Linked DNA regions of Mus musculus. The protein of the gene in region 1 interacts with the protein of each later gene in a pairwise test. Links are inferred from orthologs where the notes say so. Each region holds a gene or a part of one and is shown on either strand. Other genes may lie near its edges.

What was found.
Region 2: the proteins of Epn2 (region 1) and Wbp2 interact in binary tests that used the Homo sapiens proteins (3 or more experiments, as listed by UniProt). The link is inferred for Mus musculus from reciprocal best matches to the Homo sapiens genes EPN2 and WBP2.

Annotation. Positions count from the first base shown.
Region 1 is NC_000077.6:61,577,132-61,581,041, forward strand, and holds the start of Epn2 (epsin-2), read right to left. Parts: upstream 2,557-3,910; 5' UTR 2,436-2,556; intron 2,386-2,435; exon of another isoform or gene 1,287-2,385; intron 1-1,286. UniProt on the Homo sapiens protein: Plays a role in the formation of clathrin-coated invaginations and endocytosis.
Region 2 is NC_000077.6:116,084,420-116,088,329, reverse strand, and holds the start of Wbp2 (WW domain-binding protein 2), read left to right. Parts: upstream 1-1,334; 5' UTR 1,335-1,404; coding exon 1,405-1,463; intron 1,464-3,910. UniProt on the Homo sapiens protein: Acts as a transcriptional coactivator of estrogen and progesterone receptors (ESR1 and PGR) upon hormone activation. In presence of estrogen, binds to ESR1-responsive promoters. Synergizes with YAP1 to enhance PGR activity.

The DNA.
Region 1 (3,910 bases):
ACAGTGAGACTCTTTGGGGAATAAATTCTCAGGGTCACTAGGTGCTCATGGCACTCAATCACATCCCATCCACAAGGCAGGAGAACTCTGCACACAGTGGGCAATTGAATCAAATTCATTCTTTTCATGCTTCAGTCCACAAAGAACTCGAAAGTTGCCACTATTAGTGAAATTTAAAACTTCCTTTAACTTCTAGAAGAAAAAAAAAAAAAACACCATTAACATAAATCAGATTCTCCAAAACTTTTCAACTACTTTCACAGGACTCTTATCAGAATCTCCACTCTTGGGAAATCTATTCCTCATTATGAAAGATTACATAAGAGGCAGTCATATTTCCACAGAGAGGTTCTGCAAAGGATGGGCTATTATTCAAGACTGCAAACACCATGCCAGGTATCATCACTTGGAAGTTTCAAATACCTGGGCTGGGGAGAATGCTAAGCAGTCAAGAGCACATACTTTCTAAAGAACCAGAGCTCACTTCCCAGCACCCACTTCAATGGCTCACAACTAAATGCACTCCAGCTGCAGGGGGCATGACACCCTCTTCTGCACTCAGAGGGTACCAACACTATACACTGGCCCCCAGACACACACACTTTTTTTTTTTAAAGTTTCTCGTTTCTTGGTAACTCAGATGTTTGGCACCATACACCCCGCAGCGAAAGGAGACCAACACAGCCCCCATCCTTCTATCTCAGGGCTCAGGGAAAAATCCAAATACTGAACAAAATTACTCAAATCAACCCATGTGGAACAGTACTTTGCAATTCATGTTTATGAAACAACAACCCAGCCACACAGTTACACATAACTAGCCTAACTTTAAAACTAGGAAAACCAAACTTTAAAGTCACAAAAGCAGCCTGGGTGTGGTGGCCCACATCTTTAATATCTCCACCCTAAAAGGCAGATGCAGGTGGATCTCTGTGCATTCCAGGCCAGACTGACTACCCAGTGAGAGCCTGTCACAAACATAACAAAAGCAAACATTCAAAAAAAGAAAAAAAAAACCAAGACCTACAGGTGTTTCCCCAACACAATCATTAATCACAAATGCCCTAAGAAAAGCTGCAGTTCCTCCCAAGCTCGTTTAAATACAGACAAGAGCTTCATTACCAACAATACATAGATGGAAAGCTTAATTACCAATGCAAAGCCGATCACCGAGAGAGAATCCAGTATCTGCCGCTATCACTCTAAATCTAGAGTTACAAGACCACAAAGTTCCCGTTAAGTCTTTCTTATATTACATAATAGGGACATGGATCAAAGAAATTCACCTTTTTCAATCATTTCAACCCAATTTCAATCCCTTCTTCCACAGGGTATTTTCTTGACTGTGCAAAAGAAGAATTCACACTTCTTTCTCATCTTCCCTTGCCCATTTTCTTGTATGAATGTTAAAAATAGCAGGCAAGCGATTTGGGGGAATCCTAAACGTTGAAGAAATCCTTAAGTGTCCCAGAGTTGGGGCTTCCAGCTGTGTCAAACACCCTATCCCTAGATGACCTTGGGCAAGCTAACACATTTTGGGCCTTAGTTCCCCTAGTCAAAAAACACAAGAATAGCTAAATCCTATCTTTTCTGAAACATAGACTTCAAATGCGTTCCCAAGGCAGCACTAAAGTGAAGAGGCCGCTGGGAAGGACTGAGGCCCGAGACCAAGCAACAGACTTACACCGGCCGACCTAGGGTTTCTAGGGAGCTCAGACAATCTGCTCCCCCTGCAAAACCACTGGGCCAACTTCAGGTTGCAAACAAAAACCTGTTGGCCCGGACTCCTCTAGGAATGGCCTGCCTCTCCCAACGCGCTCGGCTCGCGCTCCGACGAAGCCGGCCCACGGGAGAGCGAGGGTCTCCCGGAAGAGGCCGACCCCACGCGCGGCTCGCCCACCCGGACTCGCCCAACAGGGCCGCCAGGTCTCTGCCATCCCACGCGGAACAAAAGGCAGCTGGAGCCTGGCTTCGCCGCCCCCGTCCCCGCTGTGCTGTGGAGTGGGGGCCGGGAAGGGGAATCCAGTCCCGGGGGCGAGAAAGACGTGGGGAAGAGTATCCCCTTCCCCCGGTCCCCTGAGGGAGGGCCGGCCGGCTCGGACCCGGTTCGAGGGGCGAGCACGCTCTGGGGAGGGGCGGGGTTGTTCCAAACTGAAGGCTCTGTCGCTGAGGTGTGAGGCGAGGACAGGAGCCAAAGCCGGGAGGCAGACGTCGCCTCTCTCTCGGCTCCGAGCGGGCTCAGGTGGGGCGGGGCCTGGCTGAGCCGTCCAGCCGGGTGGGGTCCGGCTGGCCGCACGGTGCACGCCCCGGCCGGCGAGGGGGAAGCCGGTGCTCTTAGGGGCGTCCACGCACTGGAAGAGAAGGTCTGCGCGCAGCCCCGCCCCGCCCCGACTCCCGAGCCACCACCACACCAAGCCCCGCGAGTCCCGGCTCACCTCCGTTCCTGGCCAGCGCGAGTGCAAGGCTGCAGCCGCCGGCGACGCGGGAGAAGCGGGAGCGACCCGAGCCTGTGCAGCGTTTGACACCCACACGCCAGCCAACATGGCGGCCGAGAGGGGGCGCGCCGGCAGCGAGCGCGCGCGCGCGAGCCCCGCCCTCCGAGCGCGGAGGCTCCTCCCACACACACTGGCTCCGCCCTGCCTCGCTCCTAGGCCCCGCCTCCAAACCGGTCCGCCCCTCCCACATATGCCCCCAAGGCCTTCTCTAAATAGCTCCTGCTTCTACACAAACCTAACAAATTTATGAAGCCCTAACTCAGAGTCCAACACATCCCCCCTACCTCAACAATTCCCCAGGGCATACATAACTACCTTAACCATCAATCCATGCTCCTCCCTTAAATCCTCAAGCACAGAACCCCGCCTAGCCTAATCAGAACCATGGTCTCCTAGTATTTCCTCTTGCACGTGAAAAATGTTGTGATGAAGAGACAGGAAGGAGGCCAGGTGCCAGACAGGGTTGATTTATTTTGCTACAAGTGCGTTCACTTCATGAAGATTCACTTATGCATATTTCAGATTTGTATACTTTTCTGTGTGTGCATTTCAATAAAAAGGTTGAGTCCAGAACTTTGGCAGCCCAAGTGGTTGAACCCTCGGCCGCTCGAGTCTCCCATGATTCATCAGGATACTGGGATTTAGCAACCCCAACTGCAAGCCTGCAGTCTCACTCTTATGCACCCAACAAAGCAATGTAGGGCCGGCCACATGCCAAGCTACAGCACACAGAGGCAGGCCAGAGATGAGAGCAGAGCCTTATACAAGAAGGTAAGGAGAGTCCTTTCCCTCTTTCCCCAAGAGAGGATCTCAGAAGGGTCAGAACTGAAGGCTAGACCCCAAAACTGCTAGCAGAGAGCCCTCATAACAGGGTCTAGGACATGAATCAGGGCTCAAGGGGAGAGTACAGGGAACTATTTCAGTTGTTTGAATATGCTTGGCCCAGGGAATGGCACTATTAGGAGAATAGGCCTTGTTGGGGTGGGTGTGGCCTTGTTAGAAGAAGTGTGTCACTGTGGGAGTGGGCTTTGAGACTCCTAGCTGCCTGGAAGACACTCTTCTGTTGGCCTTCAATTTAAGATGTAAAACTCTCAGCTCCTCAAGCAGTGTGCCTGCCTGGACTGTGCCCTGCTTCCTGCCATGTTGGTAATGGACTGAACCTCTGAACCTGTAAGCCAGCTTCAATTAAATGTTGTTTTTATAACAGTTGCCAGGCTAGAAAGATGGCTTAGCGGTTAAGAGCACTGACTGTTCTTCTGAAGGTCCTGAGTTCAAATCCCAGCAACCACATGGTGGCTCACAACCATCTGTAATGAGATCCGGTGTCCTCTTCTGGTGTGTCTGAAGACAACTACAGTATACTTAAATAGAATAAATCAATAAATCTTAAAAAAAAAAAAAAAAGAGTTGCCTTA
Region 2 (3,910 bases), about 55 Mb from region 1:
ACATAGTCCAGCTTAGAACAGTGCTTTTCGTGATGTGCATGAATACTGGACTCAACTGATCATCATAACTTTGTAAACCCAGGCTCGGTGGTACACACCTGTAATCTCAGGACTCTTTCTCAAAAACCAAACAAACAAAAATCTGTAGCCATTTGACTTTTATTAGTGTGCACCTAGAAAAACAAACAAACAAACAAACAAACAAACAAACAGACAAACAACCCCAAAGCGAACAGAAGGGTCTCTTGCACTGTGAGTTAATAATGTACCTGCCATTTCCCAGAACTGTTTTACTCTGCAGCTGAGGCTGGTCTGGAAATCATTATGCAGCCCAAACTGGCCTCAAATCTGTGGCAATGTTCCAGGATGTAGGGCACCATGCTGTCTGCTTCAAACCAAACACTGGTGTCTTAAGGTTAAGGGTAGGTACGCTAAGATGCCACCCAGAAACTGAAGAGTTCTCCCAACCCTCGACAGCCCTGCGAAAGATACAACTCAGAGGTGGAGTTTAGATTCACTACAGCGCAGTGGGGAGACACCCACTAGCAGAAACGAGTCAGTGGTATTTTCAAAGTCCTACCTGGCGGTTGGTCATGTGCTTTGTCAGTCCACTCAATTATTCTAGGTCCTGTTTAAACCCTGCTGTTTAACTTCTGCAGCGGGATCCGCTAGATCAGAGCAGGAAGCAGCGCCATCGCGAGGCGGCAGGCGGCAGGTGCTGGGCGGGGAAGAGGGTGGGGAGCGGACCGCTCAGTCCCCAGAAGTTCACAGTCCGACTCTGGGTCCGGGATCTGGATCTGGGTCGATTAAAGTGGCGTATTTTATTTTTTTCGGGCTTTGCCAGTCCACTGTAGAAGGGACTGCATCTCGCACTGCTCTGTAAGTTTGCAATGAATACCCAAATGTAAGCGCGAACTACTCATGACAGTTGCGGAAATGAAGACGGCTGGTTACGTAATGTTTAAATGTACCATACACCAGATCATCAAATTTAAGTTACATTTCTTCGATTGAGTTTGCTTAACATGAGGAAGCTAGGATGAGAGAGGCGTACAAATGTTTAAGTAGTCTTGTAAATATAATCTCTAGCCTGGCCTATAATATAAAAAAAGACTACAAATTCCAGAATGCACTCGTCACTAAACGCAGGGCGAGGCCGCGGTTGCCGGACCACTGCCTGCTGGGAATTGTAGTTGGCTGCTTGTTTGTGATGCAGGTGCAACTTGGGGGAGGGAGAGCGGGAGTAAACTCTCCCCACGTGACAGTCCAGATCAGGTGGTTGGTCAGCCTGCGCGCAGGAACTATGATTGGCTGACTGTAATACGAACGACGCCACTAGAGGCGGGCCAAAGACCAGCGCAAGCGCAGAGCGTTGCGAGTCTCGGGACCCCAGTGGGAGAGACTATGGCGCTCAACAAGAATCACTCAGAGGGCGGCGGAGTGATCGTCAACAACACTGAGAGGTGAAAACACGGCGGAAGGATCCTGGAGACTTGAAGGGCGGGTGTCGGCCACTGTGTGTGGTGGGCGGTGGGATATGGTGGAGAAGGAAATTGATGGAGCGCTGTGGGGGGGGGGGCGTGGGGGGGGAGGAAAGAGGGAGAAAGGGGTGGTAACGGCCGGAGGCGGGGCTGGAGGGAGTGGGTGGGTCGTTGGGGAGGGCCGGAGTGCTGATCAGCTGGGGTGATGGGTGGGGGTGGGGCCAGAGAATGGTGTCAGGGTTTGTTTGGGAAGCCGAGTGAGGCCCACGGGTGATTTCTTGAACCCCTTCCCAAACGAAGTCTTAAAACATAGTTGCTATTTATTAGGCGTTCACTACGTCTTTACTATGCTGCGTCAGCTCTACCTTAGGTAATACATAATCCTGTGCCGCAGAAACTATTAGACACATTTTACAGGTAGGGCAAGTGACGCCTAATGAGGTTAAAATAACTTAGACCATTGTGCTGTGAGTAACAGAAGGGGAATTGAAGGAAGGTAACTTGGCCCCAAAGTCAATAGGCTTAACTACTCCTGTACAGTTTTCTCGTATATTCCAGAACTTCTCAAGTTCCAAAAGAAAGGCTGAGGCCCTAGAGGTGGTGGAACTAAATGTCTGTCAACTACTTAACCCGGTGACCCTTATAAAGGCTTGTCTCTTGCCTGGTTCTCTTGAATTCTTAATGGCTTGTGTCAGTTCCCCGAACAAAGGTCTCCCAACTTTAAGATTCTTTTTTTCTCTCCCCTCCTTGAACTGCTGGGCTTCTCTGTTCCTCTTGTTTCTTGTTCCTTGGAATTCTGACTCTCCTGACTTGCACTATCCGGGCTTGGATTAACTTGAGAGCCAAGAGAGACATGATGGAGGTCAGAGCCCACACCCAGTGTAGACAGGCACCCATCTTGGGACTTGTCACCTGGGAAGCTGACTCAGAGGAGAAGGTGGCAGTGACAAGGCCAGGTTCTGCTGACCTCGTGTGCGTAGGTCTTGGGAAGGGGCTGGCCAGCACATGTGCCTGGTGACCACTTCTTTAACCTGAGCTGCCCCTCTTTTATTGCACCAAGAAAGGATATTTGGGACAGGAGGAGACAGCTGAATGGAACCATACGAACTCAAACCTTTTTATCTTGTAATCTGAGAAACCTTACATTGTTTTCTGGTATACTTTGTCCAGTTCTTTGGCTGAGCCAAGTACTCTGATGCCATCTAATGACTGTCCCCACTTCTACCAGTCTCTCTGGTTTTTGAGGTATGGTTTCATTCCTGTAGCCCAGGTTGGCCTTGAATTTGAGGCAGTCCTCCTACCTCAGGCTTTTAAGTGCAAGGAATTCACCAGGGCTCTTTAGTTTCATTATTTGGGAGTGATTCCTTTTTGTTTGTTTTTCCAAGACAGTGTTTTTTGTGTAATAGAGCCCTGGCTGTCCAGGACTCACTAGGTAGTCCAGGCTGGCCTTGAACTTACAGAGATTCACCTACCTCTGCCTCCTGAGTGCTGGGGTTAAAGGCATGTGCTACCATACTGGGAATTTTTTGTCTCTTAAACTGAGTCTTACCTAGGTGGTATCTACCCTCCTGGGCCTCAGCACCTGGTTCATAGCTCATTGCTACCAGTAGGGTTCTAAGGAATAACTTGAGCCACACTTCTGAAACAAATGTGTCAGCAATAATTGAAGTTTAAGTATGATGCTCAAACTTTGGAATTTAAACTTGTAAACATTAATCTTTAATTCACAAACCACTGATAGAGATAAGAGCTGTGAACTTGCCGGGAGGTGGTGGTGCATGCCTTTGGTCCCAGCATTCAAGAGGCAGAGGCAGGCAGATCTCTGTGCGTTCAAGGCCAGCTTGGTCTACAGAGTGAGTTCCAGGACAGCCAGAGCTACACAGAGAAACCCTGTCTCCAAAAGAAAAAAGAAAAAGAAAAGTTGTGAACTCTTCCCAGAGAATTGAGTACATACACACACAAAGACACACACGCACTCGCGCCCCTATCTTAAGGGCTTTATGTGCAGAAGTTTTCTGCTGCTGCAGCTAGAGAAGCTTGGACTAGGGGCTGGAGAGCTGGTTTAGCAGTTAGAAATACTTCCTGTTCTCCCAGAGAACCCAGGTTTAGTTCCCAGCATCCATATGGAACAGCTCACAACCACATGTAACTCCAGCATCAGGGGGTCCAAAGCAAATATAGAATCATATCTTTTACATACATACATATATACATACATACATTGATTGATTGATTGATGCTGGGGATGAGCCTGGAGCTATTTACATATTAGGCTTGTATTTATTTGTTTGTTTTGAGACCATTTTTCTGTGTAGCTTTGGCTATCCTGGCACTTACTCTATAGACCAGACTGGCCTCGAACTCACAGATCCACACACCACTGCCTCCTTGAGTGCAGAGATTAAAGTTGGGCCATCACAACCCGGCGT